Linked DNA regions of Macaca fascicularis. The protein of the gene in region 3 purifies or fractionates together with the protein of the main gene of each other region. This does not show direct contact. Links are inferred from orthologs where the notes say so. Each region holds a gene or a part of one and is shown on either strand. Other genes may lie near its edges.

Region 1 (4,158 bases), on a different chromosome or scaffold from region 3:
TTTATTAATTGTAGTCATCAAGGCCAGGTGTGGTGGCTTATGCCTATAATCCCATCACTGGGAGGCGGAGGTGGGCGGATCATTTGATGTCAGGAGTAGAGACCACCCTGGCCAACATGGTGAAACTCCACCTCTACTAAAAGCACAAAAAAATGAGCTAAGTGTGGTGATGCCACGCCTGTAATCCTAGCTACTCAGGAGGTTGACACACAACCACTTGAACCCAGGAGGTGGAAGTTGCAGTAAGCCATGATCATGCCACTGCACTCCAGCCTGGGTGACAGAGTGAGACCCTGTCAAAAAAAAAAAAAAAAAAAAAAAATTACAATCACCAAAACTAGAAACCATCTATATACCTGGAAAATGGATAAACAGTTACATCCATACAATGGAATCCTACTCAGCAATATAAAGGAATGGACTGCTGATACCTGTGACAACACAGATGAATCTCAAATGCATTCTGCTAAACAGCAAAACTGCAGACTCAAATGCTACATACTGAATGATTCCATTTATATGACATTCTGGAAAAGACAGGTCAGCAAACTGTGGTCTGGAAGCCAAATCCAGCCATTTTTTAATGGCATATAAGCTAACAAGTATTTACATTATTAAATGGTTGGAGAAAATAGTATTTCATGACACATGAAAATTACACAAAATTCAAGTTTCAGTTTGCAGAAATAAAGCTCGATTGAAACACAGCCGCCTGCATTCCTTCATATATTAATTACCTGGCTGCTTTCGTACTACAACAGCTGAGTTTAGCAGCAGCAACAGAGACTATAAAAGCCCACAAAGCTTGAACTATTTACTGCATGGCCCTTTCCAGAAAAAAATTTGCTGACACCTGCTATAGGCACACAGAATAGCTTGACAGTTGCTAGTTTAGTAAAAGGTGGGGAAGGAGTTGGCCACAAGGGAATTTTCTAGAGGGTGATGTAGTTGTTAATTGTGGTGGTGGTGGTGGTGACTTGACTGCATTTGCCAAAACTCAGAACTCTACACCAAAAAGTATTTTTAAAAATATTTTATTTTAAAATAAATGCTAATGAACAAGAGGGACAGAAAACACCAGTAGTTGCCAGGGTGCAGGAGAAGAGACTAAGTACAGGGAACAGGGGAATGTCCTGGGTGATAGAACTGTCCTATCGATTGGTTACAAAACTATGCATTTGTCAAAATTCACAGCCTAGACACTAAAAAGGGTGATTTTACTGAATGTAAATTATAAACTTTTTTATTTTTAAAAAAGAGATAATGAAGGCCAGGCATGGTGGCTCACGCCTGTAATCCCAGCACTTTGGGAGGCTGAGGCGGGCAGATCACTCCCGAAGTCAGGAGTTTGAGACCAGCCTGGCCAACATGGTGAACCCCATCTCTACTAAAAATACAAAAATAGGTTGGGCGTGGTGGCACACGCCTGTAATCCCAGCTACTCGGGAGGATAAGGCAGGAGAATCACTTGAACCTGGGAGGTGGAAGTTGCAGTGAGCCGAGATAGCGCCACTGCACTCCAGCCTGGGCGACAGAGTAAGAATCTGTCTTTAAAAAAAAAAAAAAAAAAGATAATGAAATGAGAGGAACCAAATATTTACCCTATGTGGGGTTTAAAAAAAAAAAAAAGGCTTATGATAGGTTTTCTCTTAGAGACAGTAAAAATAAGTGCCAGGAATTGAAAGCAAAGAACAGTAAGATGAGAGAGATCTTCAATATACAAAATGTTTCAAAACTTTTTTTTAGTACAATATGCTTATACAAGAGGTAAGACTTATTTTTGTATTTGATTTGATAATTTGACTTGGAATTTTTCTGTGGGAATAAGTGTTAGAATGCTTATTTTTAAGTTTCTCAAAATTTGCAGGCAGTAAGCAAGGCCTTAAAGCCACAGAGGGCTCTAGAACTAGTTCCATAAAGCATTTTACTGTAAAAACATGTACAGATCTTTAATAGAAAAGTATGTTTCTTTACAGTAGAAAAATATCTGAACAGTCAACTTAAGACAAAAATTCAAATATAACATACGACCTATAAACTATCTATTTAGCTAAAACTGAATCGAGCTGTTTATAAGAACTGATTCCAAAATATACATACATGAATTTACATAACTGATACATAGAAGTTCTTCAAAATCGACTGTAAATTGAAAAGTTAAAATTGGCCTTGCCTCTGCAGTTTGGAGCTGCAATGGCTGCCAGCATCGGCTGCTTTCTTGGTGCCTGAGCTGCAGGGTGGGCCTGTCAAGGAGGGACTGCTGTCTGGGTCACTTTCCCTCTGGCTGTTTGTGGCGCAGGTGCATGAGGCGCTCAATCTTGGCCTGGAAAGAATACCTCGAAAGAATATCACGCACTGGAAGTCTGTGAGGAAGTGAAGACGCTAAAAGCGGGCAGTGCTGTGTTTACTTATAGACAGTGGAGCGGGTCCAGGGCAGTCCTCGCCAGGCTGGTTTTTAAAGCACTCTTTTGGTTTAGGATTCAGCTTCATCATGGTCACTTTCATTATCATTGTCATTCTCCTCATCTTCTTCCCTCTTTTCCTCTTTAAGCATTTTCAGGTATTTACTAGCTAATATCTTCTTTGGTAATATATCTTAAAAACATAAAGCTTACATCAGCAATTGGTTATGGTAGACTATGAACACAGCAATGCACATTTCAAAATGTACTAGTTCCTGCTTTGACCTCTACAAGAGGTTCCAAAACATAGATGAAATTCAGGCTACATTTCTGGGTAAAATATCACAGAAACTAGCATTGTCTCCTAACAAATGCTATAGGCCTCTTTCCATTATTCCACTGAGTACAAACCATGGTGTCTCTATGAGCTGCTTTTATAAGCAACCCTGCCCGATTACCTGAGATAGGCTAGGCTAGCCCCAGGGCAGACTTAAGCTCTAACTATGGGCATGTGGACCCACCCTGAGTTTTCCCTTCAATGGCAGGAAGGGTCCCTGTAAAGGACTGCCCAGCACAGGCGGCCAACCAACATCTTCTGAATGCTGTTGGCTTCACTGTTGTTCTAGGTGGACCACATAACACACACATTCAAACAGAGAAGACTAAAAGTATCTTCCTGTGACAGCTCATAGCACTTTGCGGCCTGCAAAGAGTAGCAAAAAGTCTAATTCCATGAAAGCAGAAGGGAGGCAAGGGGTGGGGAAAGAGCTATTGATTACTAATCATTTTTTAACCAGAATGTTTCAAAGACTAAGTACCTGCAAGAAACTGAAAAGTTTCTGATTCCTGTGCAGTGTTTGCTAAATCACTGTAAGTCAGTACTTTCTTTTCCTTTCCACTGCCGTGTCTGTAGGAATAGGTGGCTAGGCATTGAACAAAGAGCTCCTAAAACAAAATGAAAAAGGAAAATAAAAGGTGTGCTTTGAAAATGTACCACAGAGCTTAATTTTGTAAAATTACATTGCTGATACCTTATTATCAGGCTTAAAATTACATTAAGACTTCAGATTATCTTGGTTTCTTAAATTACAAGAAATCACTGCGGAGGCCGGGTGTGGTGGCTCAACACTTTGGAAGGCTGAGGCAGTCGGATCAGTTGAGGTCAGGAGTTTGAGATCACACTGGCCAACATGGTGAAACCCCATCTCTATTAAAAATAAAAAATTAGCTGGGCATGGTGGCAGGTGCCTGTAATCCCAGCCACTTGAGAGGCTGAGGCAGGAGAATCGCTTGAACCTGGGAAGTGGAGGTTGGAGGTTGCAGCACTCTAGCCTGGGCGAGACTCCGTCTCAAAAAAAAAAAAAAAAGAAAAGAAAGAAATCAATCACTGGGGAAAAGAAAAACATGAGGTCAGAAAGAAAGCAAAGCCGGTATCAAAACTGGCAGAGAAGCAGGCATTTTCCAGAGGCTTTAGATGTCTAACTTATGAAAAAGATTAATCATAACTGTTTAATGGCCAACCTCTAGAGTAAAAAAAGAAGCGGCCAGCAGTGCTGGCTCACACCTGTAATCCCAGCACTTTGGGAGGCCGAGGCGGGTGGATCACAAGGTCAGGAAATCGAGACCATCCTGGCTAACACGGTGAAACCCCGTCTCTACTAAAAATACGAAATCAAAATTAGCTGGGCATGGTGGCGGACGCCCGTAGTCCCACCTACTGGGTAGGCTGAGGCAGGAGAATGGCGTGAACCCGGGA
Region 2 (4,933 bases), on a different chromosome or scaffold from region 3:
ATCTAGTTACAGCCGGGCGCACTGGCTCACGCCTGTAATCCCAGCACTTTGGAAGGCTGAGGCGGGCGGATCACCTGATGTCAGGAGTTTGAGACCAACCTGGCCAACATGGTGAAACCCTGTCTCTACTAAAAATACAAAAAATTAGCCAGGCATGGTGGCACACACCTGTACAGGCAGGAGAATTGCTTGAGCCCTGGAGGCGGAGGTTGCAGTGAGCCGAGATTGTGCTCCAGCCTGGGCAGCAGAGTGAGATTCTATCTCAAAGCAGCTAGTGACAAAAGACCATATGTTATATGACTCCATTTACACGAAATGTCCAGAATAAGCAAATCAGTAGAGAGTAGATGTATGGTTGCCAGGGGCAGCAAGAAAGAGGAAATGGGAAATGACTACTAATGGATATGGCATTTCCTTTTGGTATGATGAAAGTATTCTGGAATTGACAGTGGTAATGATTGTGTAACCTTGTGAATACACTAAAGACCACTAAATTATACACTTTAAAATGGTGATTGTTATGGTATATAAGCTCAGTATATAAGAAAAGTAACATTGTATGGCTTTCACATCTTCATATTTTTTAAATATTCATTCAGCCCCATTCATTTACATTATCCCTGGCTCTCCTTACATTAGAGCTTGCAAAACCCAACTTTGGATTTAGAACATAATGGTGTAATTTATTTCAAGGTTCATATAATTTTAGTTTTAATTTGGATAACATAATGAATTAAACAGCTGTGTTGTGTTCATTCTGCCTGTTTACTATTTCTGAATTTCTCTCTTCCACTATTTGTCATCTTCTCTCCTTCCTACTCTAAGCCACCATCACCGCCTAGCCAGCCACCTAGACCACTACTGATCTATTACTATTATTACTGGCCCCTCATCTACTTTCTTTCCCAGGTAATTTTTCACACAGTGGCTACAGTACTTTCTAATACCATTTCCCTTTCTAAATTCTTCTGGTTTTTTTCCTATTGTTTTTTGGATAAGGCCTTACAAGGCCTAGCCTAATCTCACCCTGCCTTTTTCTCTCATCTGCCTCTTGGATTACTGCTTTCTCCGTTACACTTTTCTCAAAATTATAAGCTCCTCCTGTTTCTCTTGAGTTCTGTTCCATTGTGTATGTTATTCCTCTGTAGCACACACTCCTCCCCATCTCCCTGGTCTCAAATTGTAAAATGTCACTTCTTCAAGCCAGCCTTTTTGATCCCTAAGAGTCAGTTTCATTCTCCTTGAAATGTTTTCATAATACCTTGAACTGCTCTTGTTTTAGTACTTATTACATATTTTTTAAATGATTTGTGTAATTATCTGTTTTCTCTGAAAGACCATAAACTGTGTCATGTTGTTCACTACCTCCTAAGCCTATGCCCGGGACTTCGTAAGCAAGCAATAAATATTTCATAAATGGAATTATATATTCATTAGTAAATGTCATCCTTGTTTTTATCCTTAAGGGAGGAAGAAAGGGAAGATTTTGATACTAGCACTGAGAGCAAAGACACAGAGCAAAAGGAATTAGATCAAGATATGGTCACAGAAGATGAAGATGACCCAGGATCACATAAAAGAGGCAGAAGGGGTAATACTGAAATTCCTTAAGAGCATTCTTGTTTGTTTGTTTTTAACTGATAAAGCACTTTATTAATTCAGCTCCTCTGAAATATATTGATTGCTTTCGTTCGTGATTCCAGGCTGTGTTTTTTTTTTTAAATGCCCACCTCTTAGCTGTGATGAGTTGTAAAATGTGTTATGAAGTCCTATTAGTACATTTATGATTGGGTCATTATTTACACATCATCTATACTTAAGAAAAAAGAGATAATATTCCTATGTCTTTAATAGGACAGTTTCTGATAACTTTAACTTTTGGTTAGTCAGCAAGTTGCATTGAATTTATTTACTACTTTATTTGGGCCAAATAGAAATTTGCATTCTATAATGTACTCATTCAGCATGCATTGGATGCCTCCTATATACTAGAGATATAAAGATCAATAATGCTCATAATTTGTATCATATTGATGAAAGTGGAACTCTCTCCTACCTTAAAATTATTTCATAAATTGCTAGATCAAAGCGAATACATCTTTTAAAAGCTGTTAATACAAATTTCTTTTGAGGATCCTTAACCAACCTTATTTAATGACTATCAAAAGAAATCCTTAAGTTAATTCTGTGCCTGTAATTTGGATGGGATCTTTTTTCTGTATTTTTTTCTAAATGGTTACTCTAAGTAGATGGAAAATTTCCTTTATCATGGAAGCTGTATTGTCTGATTACAATGCAATTGATTTCAAAATCTAAAGCAAACCTAATATGATTAGAGTTTTAAAACAGACTTCTAAATATTGGGTCAAAAGATAAACTATAATGGAAACTAAAAAATATTTAAAATGAATCAAACTAAAGATTACTGAATATTAACGCTTGTTGAATACAGTCCCTCTACTTAGGGGAAAATGTATACCTTTAATACATATTAGAAAAGAAGAAACACAAACTCAGCTAGACATTTATTTAAGAAGATGGTGGGAGAAAAAGAATAATCCCCCTAAGTCTGAAGGAAATAATACATCAGAGTAGAAATTAATAGAAAATAAAAATATAGTAGGGCCAGGTGCAGTGGCTCACACCTGTAATCCCAGCACTCTGGGAGGCCAAGATAGGTGGATTGCTTAAGCCCAGGAGTTCAAAATCGGCCTTGGCAACATGGTGAAACCCCATCACTACAAAAAGTACCCAAAAAGCAAGCTGGGCATGGTGGCATGCACCTGTAGTCCCAGCTACTCAGTAGGCTAAGGTGGGAGGGTCGCTTGAGCCTGGGAGATCAAGGCTGCAGTGAGCCCTGATTGTGCCACTGCACTCCAACCTGGGCAACAGAGGAAGACCCTTTCTTAAAAAAATAAAAATGTAGTAAAGAACAGTAACAAATCTAAAAGCGTGTTCTTCTGAGAAAGACAAACGAGACAAACCTTTGTTGAAACTGATTTTTATATAGATGGCGATCATAAAGTTAGGACTGAAAGGGAGCAACATTAACTATGGATAGAGTAGAAACTTAAAGATGAGGAGATAATACACAATTTTTTGATGCATTTGAAAATATATGCAAAAATAAAATCCTAGAAAAATACAAATTATCAAAATGGATTTATGAAGAAATTTGTTAATGTAGATGGTCTTAAACGATTAAAGAACTTGAATCAGTACTAAAATCTTTCTGCAGAGAAAACATCAGTCCTAGACAACTTTATAGGTGAATTCTGCCAAATTTTTAAAAAAGCAGATAATTCCAGTCTTACACAAACTCTTTCAAGCAAAAGAAATAGAATGAAAAAATACTTCCCAACTATCAAAGCAATTTGACAGCAACTGAAACAACAGAGAAATTTAATTCCAACATATTTTCATAGTCAAGGCAGATTATCAGGGGTCCAAGCTCTTTCTGTCTTGTTGGTACTGCCATCCTTAGGGTTTTGCTGCCATTCTCATGTTCCAAAATGATTTATCACCATGTCTGCATTCTAGCTAGTTGGAAGTGGGAAGGAGGAAAGGGAAGCACAGTCCAGAGGGTACACACAATGCTTCTGATCCCATCTCTTTGAACAAAAGTTTTTTGTTTGGTTGTGCCTACTCTGGGAAATGTCCTTCTTTTGGGTTGCTAAGTGCCCAGCTGAAAACTAGTGGTTCTGTTACCTTCAACCAGTGGTTAGTAAATAACAGTTTGTATGCCAAATCTGGCCGGCCTCATTTTTGTTGTTGTTGTTTTTTGAGGTGGAGTCTCGCTCTGTCACCCAGGCTGGGGTGCAGTGGTGCCATCTCGGCTCACTGCAACCTCCACCTTCTGGGTTCAAGCGATTCTTCTGCCTCAGCCTCCCGAGTAGCTGGGATTATAGGTGCATGTCACCACACCTGGTTGATTTTTGTATTTTTAGTAGTGATGTGTTTTGTCATGTTGGCCAGGCTGGTTTCAAACTCCTGCCCTCAAGTGATCCAGCCACCTCGGCCTCCCAAAGTGTTGGGATTACAGATGTGAGCCACTGTGCCCGACCCGGCCCTGCCCTGCCCTGTTTTTGTATAACTCATAAGCTAAAAAGGCTTTTCCCCCTTTTTTGGAGACAGAGTCTCACTCTATCCCCCAGGCTGGAGTATAGTGGCATGATCTTGGCTCACTGCAACCTCCACCTCCTGGGTTCAAGCGATTCTCATGCCTCCGCCTCCTGAGTAGCTGGGATTACAAGTGCTTGCTACCACGCCCAGCTAATTTCTGTATTTTTAGTAGAGATGGGATTTCACCATGTTGGCCAGGCTGGTCAAGAACTCCTGACGTCAGGTGATCCGCCCACCTTGGCCTCCCAAAGTTCTGGGATTTACAGGCGTGAGCCACTGCGCCGGCTGGATTTTTACAATTTAAATGACTGGAAAAAAGAAGAATGATACTTTGTGATAAGTGAAAATTATATGAAATTCAGATTTCACTGTCCATAAATAGTTATATTGAACCACAGCCATGCTGATTGTCTACATGTTGCCTGTGATTGCTTTGGGGCCACAACAGTGGAATTGAATAGCTGTGAAGACCAAAAGATCCACAAAGACAAATATTTATAAGCTGGTCTTCTCCAGAAGTAGTTTGCTGTTATTCCTCCCTTAGAGGAAGGACTGGGATGACTACTGGAGGATAACTAACATACTCTACTGCACTCTCCAGTATGGAAATTACAGATTTTTTGTGCCCCTTTAGATTTAAGTATATTGATTTCTTAATAACATAGAGTATTAGTCTGCTTGGGCTGCCATAACGAAATACCCCACACTGGGGTGCCTTAAACAACAGAAATTTCAGAAATTTGTTTTCTCACAGTTCTGGAGTCTGGAAGTCCAAGATCAAGCAGGGTTAGTGTCTGAAGAGGCTTTTTCT
Region 3 (4,933 bases):
GTTTTAAAATGCTCATGTTAAAACAAAGGAGCACTATACTTTGAAATGACTGCTCTGATGCTTTCTAAAGTTGAAGTGTAGAACATTAAAAAAACCTATTCATTATCTGAGCTCTAACCCCCACTCCTGATTTTAGGCCTTAAGTCTCTTAGAAGGTAAGCAATAGTTAGAGCAACCATACTCCCTTGATTTTGGAAAGAGTTTACACTTTATATATACTTCCCTAGAAATTACAGCTTTCTGTCATAAAATGTGAAGATTGCACCTCCCTCCCACACATGGTTCCCAGATCCATTGTTAGACAGTGGTGGTGTGTTCATGATATTGTTTTTTAATTATTTATGTGGGGTTTTAATTAGGTACCATGTACATGGACCTGAAACATTTTTATCTATAGTATGTTGACTTTTTATATGAAAAGGGGTATGTCGGCCGGGCGCGGTGGCTCAAGCCTGTAATCCCAGCACTTTGGGAGGCCGAGACGAGTGGATCACGAGGTCAGGAGATCGAGACCATCCTGGCTAACATGGTGAAACCCCGTCTCTACTAAAAAAAATACAAAAAAAAAAAAAAAACTAGCCGGGCGAGGTGGCGGGCGCCTGTAGTCCCAGCTACTCGGGAGGCTGAGGCAGGAGAATGGCGTAAACCCGGGAGGCGGAGCTTGCAGTGAGCTGAGATCGGGCCACTGCACTCCAGCCTGGGCGACAGAGCAACACTCCGTCTCAAAAAAAAAAAAAAAAAAAGAAAAGGGGTATGTCTGTGGTGTGTGTTTGGGTATATTTAAATTACACGAATGTAGAAAGAACTTAGAAGCCAGCTTCCAATTTTAACTAATAAAAAATGTTTTTAGTCTACTATACTTTTCCTCCTCCCAGATTATTTGAAGCAAACGCCAGACACTATAGCATTTCATAAATTATTATCTGTCTCTTAAAGATAAGAAATATCACTGATACAGTATTAAGTATACAGATTCAAGTTTGTTTGTTTCTCTCTGTATTTTAATAAGAATGACAGTTGTACCAGTAGATGAATCTCCTCTATGATACTATCAAAAGCATATTGTAAGAGTTGTCAGTGAATGGGTTTACTTTTTCCTTTTTATACCTTTTTTGTAGAGATAGATTTTTAAAAAATGCTTTCCTTGAAAGCAAAGTAATTAAAGGAATTGAATTGGTGGAGAGGAGTGGCAGGAACTTGGTGGGAATATTCAGATATTAATGTAAAGTATATTAAACTCTGCAAGGAAAATGGAGACTATTAAATGTTCTCATGTTGCAGTACTTTTTGGAAGGCTGAGGTGGGCAGATCATTTTAGGTCAGGAGTTCAAGACCAGCCTGGCCAACATGGTGAAACTCCATCTCTACCAAAAATACAAAAAATTTAGCTGGGCGTGGTGGCATGCACCTGTAGTCCCAGTTACTTGGGAGGCTGAGGCAGATGAATCACTTGAACCTGGGAGGCAGAACTGAGATGGCGCCACTGCACTCCAGCCTGGGTGTCAGAGCGAGACTCCGTCTCAAAAAAAAAAAAAAATATTCTTACACATTTGAGGTGCAGGAACGTGTGACAACAGCAGATTGTCAGCCTCCACTTATAAGACGGGATCATTTCATAATCATTACTTTTCAAAATGATCCTTTGTCTTGATGCATTCTACTGAAAGTATTATGTAGTTGCCTAAAGAAGTGGAAGGCAGTCAGATAGTTTGAATCACGTCAGATAAGTGAAGGATAGTCATTGTAGATATATGAGGTACATATTATGGTCCTTTGATCTGGAATGGGTCTTCAGAACCAGGTTGAAACCTGGAGTATTAGGTGTGTGTTGGGGGTTTGGGGAGTCATACGCATTGAAGAGGAGTTGTGGAGTAGTGGAAGGTTATTTTTAAACATACGTGAGGTAACAAGATAATGATTATCTTACCCTTTGAGATGGGAAAGCCTTCCAGACCAGAGGCAAATATGCTTTTCTGTACAAATGTTATCCTTTTTTATTTGTGCCATGGTGAGAAAAAAGTGGGAAATGACTGACTGGGATGATAATGTGTAGATTTTTTTGCCCCCTTGTAACCAAGTAGGTAACTTTGGAATTATAATTGGTTAGTCTTACTTTTGGTTACCCTTAAATTTTTCTACTTTTGAATATATTAATATATTCACTAACAGGTTCACGAGTATTAATCTTCAGTCAAATGACAAGGGTATTGGACATTTTGGAAGATTATTGCATGTGGAGAAATTATGAGTACTGCAGGTTGGATGGTCAGACGCCCCATGATGAGAGACAAGTGAGTAAAATTTGGGGAGGGAGATAAAAAAGAATCATAAATTTTTTGACAATCATTTTATTTTATCCGTAGGACTCCATCAATGCATACAATGAACCAAACAGCACAAAGTTTGTTTTCATGTTAAGCACACGTGCTGGTGGTCTTGGCATCAATCTTGCGACTGCTGATGTAGTAATTTTGTATGATTCTGATTGGAATCCCCAAGTAGATCTTCAGGCTATGGTAAGAGATAACAAATAAATGTATTCTGTGCTTAGTAGATGAATTAGTTAGGGTGAGGTAATTCTTCAGATACCAGTGACTTAACCCAATAGAATTTTATTTTTCTCCAATCCAGTGGTTCAGTGAGAGTATATTGAGTTGATGTTCCATCTAAATAAGGGTATTTCCATCTCAGAGATCTGCCATATCTTAGGACCCTGGAGTCCTCTGCTATATCCTCTGCATCCTATTGGCAGAAGGGGGAAAGGATAGAGTTGGGGATTTTCCAGGAAATTTATGGGTCAGACCTTGAAAGAGCCTCCTTGTCTCTCCACCCTCTTGATCAGACAATTGGACAGAACTCATCATGTAGCATAACTGACTGCAAGGGGATTGGTAAATTATATTGTTGTTGTATCATAGGACGAAAGAGAATTGAGTTTGATGAGCAACTAGCCTGTCTGCCACTTTAGATATTTAAAAGATACACCTGTGTGAAAGTACCAGTCAGATCAGGAATATTATTTTTAGATTGAGAGAATTGATACTGCAGATTGGCCTGACCCGTGATACTGGTGACCATAAACCCAACTGTAATTAGTCACTTTCTTTCTTTCTTTTTTTTTTTTTTGAGACAGAGTCTCACTCTGTTGCCCAGGCTGGAGCACAAGGTCCGCCTTCCGGGTTCACACTGTTCTCCTGCCTCAGTCTTCCAAGTAGCTGGGATTACAGGTGTGCACCACCACGCCTGGCTAATTTTGTATTTTTATTAGAGATAGGGTTTCACCATGTTGGTCAGGCTGGTCTTGAACTCCTCACCTTCAGGTGATCCCCCCACCTCGGCCTTCGAAAGTGCTGGGATTACAGGAGTGAGCTACTGTGCCCAGCCCGTTAGTCACTTTCATCTTGTGCTCTTACTAAGGTTGACTGGGGAAAATTGTCCGATTATTAGAAATAAAGGAGTTTTTTAGGAATGTAGTTAGCAAAAGTGAAACAGAAATTCCTATTCAAACTAGTTTGACTACTTGTATTTAGTTAATTGGGTAATATTTAAAGATTAGAATTTTTATGTTTGATAAGTTCATTGTTTCATGTCACTTTTTTGCCTGATACAGTAACAATTTGGGTTTGATATAGATAGAAAAACATTTTGAATTTAAACCTAGGGAAAAAGACTTAAAATCTTTTCTCATCAGACTTAAAAATTATAATTTTGTATATTGTTTGGAGACATTGTGTGTGTTTTATCTCTGTAACCTAGCAGAATTCATCTGATTCTTACAGATTCATTGTTACTACAAATTTTTAAAAGTTTTATACTTCAGAATATTTTAATTTTGTTTCTCAATGTACCCATTTCAGTGTTATTTATGTGACTTTTAAACTCAATTCAAAATAACATGGTAATTTATTTAGGACCGAGCACATAGAATTGGACAGACCAAGACAGTCAGGGTGTTCCGCTTTATAACTGATAACACTGTAGAAGAAAGAATAGTAGAACGTGCTGAGATGAAACTCAGACTGGATTCAATAGTCATTCAACAAGGTAAGCCATGGAACTTTAAAACTTTACCAAGCTGGATTGACACAACCTGTTTTTGTTTGAACATCGTCTTAGAAGATTCTTGTTACTAAGCATCCATTGAGTCAAGCTTGCAGCCAGTAGAGATTACTTGTATTGCAAATACAGTAAACTTTAGTTTTGTCCTTAAGATTTATTTGGGCTCAGGACAATTGAGTTTTGAATAATGACTCTGCCAGTTAGCAGTTCTCTCTCGTTACATGAACCCATTTCCTCATCTGTTAAGTGGGGATAAAAATACACTTAAGGATTTTAAAGGATTAAAGGGGATAATGTATATAAGATATCTGATATTCAGTGTGGTGGTTAATGATTTATATGTACTAATTACTCTTGATTACTGTGGGGAATACTGAAGAAATAAAAATCAAAGAGCCTGATTTTATTCTTTTTTCTTGTCTGCAACTTATTGAGTACCCACCAGATGCTAGGCACTGTTCTTGGTGTTGAGAATTCAGTGGTAAATGGAACATTCAAGTATTCTTACTTTAAAAGAGTTTACAATTTAGTTGGGAGGGCAGATGAAGTAAACAAGGTATAAGTAGGAGTAGGGGGTGAGAGTGGGATTTTATTTTGAATCGATTGAAGGAAACTTAAGTTCTCATTCCAGATCAACTTTTAAGGATGACATAGTTTATGTTTTCATGAAACTTACTGTAAAGTTGATGATGGGAAATATAAAATTCAAGAAAAGGGGTGGGAAACTTAATAACTTCAAATGTTCATTAGTTTCCTTTGTAACTGCATTGTGAGCATATATTTACTATCTGTCTAAAAAGCTGAAAGGCATATTGTTACATTGTTTACTGATTATGTAGGTGTCTTGATTTTGTCAGTCTCTTATTTCCATGTA

The links. The genes of interacting proteins can lie anywhere in the genome.
Region 1: the proteins of SMARCA5 (region 3) and CHRAC1 fractionate together in Homo sapiens (co-fractionation; 5 studies listed by BioGRID and IntAct, with this or other methods). This does not show direct contact. The link is inferred for Macaca fascicularis from reciprocal best matches to the Homo sapiens genes SMARCA5 and CHRAC1.
Region 2: the proteins of SMARCA5 (region 3) and BAZ1A purify together in Homo sapiens (affinity purification with western blotting; 8 studies listed by BioGRID and IntAct, with this or other methods). This does not show direct contact. The link is inferred for Macaca fascicularis from reciprocal best matches to the Homo sapiens genes SMARCA5 and BAZ1A.

The regions. Positions count from the first base shown.
Region 1 is NC_088382.1:150,114,215-150,118,372, reverse strand, and holds the end of CHRAC1 (chromatin accessibility complex protein 1), read right to left. Parts: intron 3,348-4,158; coding exon 3,221-3,347; intron 2,596-3,220; coding exon 2,474-2,595; 3' UTR 1,021-2,473; downstream 1-1,020. UniProt on the Homo sapiens protein: Forms a complex with DNA polymerase epsilon subunit POLE3 and binds naked DNA, which is then incorporated into chromatin, aided by the nucleosome remodeling activity of ISWI/SNF2H and ACF1.
Region 2 is NC_088381.1:102,594,077-102,599,009, reverse strand, and holds part of BAZ1A (bromodomain adjacent to zinc finger domain protein 1A), read left to right. Parts: intron 1-1,466; coding exon 1,467-1,591; intron 1,592-4,933. UniProt on the Homo sapiens protein: Regulatory subunit of the ATP-dependent ACF-1 and ACF-5 ISWI chromatin remodeling complexes, which form ordered nucleosome arrays on chromatin and slide edge- and center-positioned histone octamers away from their original location on the DNA template to facilitate access to DNA during DNA-templated processes such as DNA replication, transcription, and repair.
Region 3 is NC_088379.1:148,647,335-148,652,267, forward strand, and holds part of SMARCA5 (SWI/SNF-related matrix-associated actin-dependent regulator of chromatin subfamily A member 5), read left to right. Parts: intron 1-2,169; coding exon 2,170-2,291; intron 2,292-2,363; coding exon 2,364-2,516; intron 2,517-3,911; coding exon 3,912-4,044; intron 4,045-4,933. UniProt on the Homo sapiens protein: ATPase that possesses intrinsic ATP-dependent nucleosome-remodeling activity.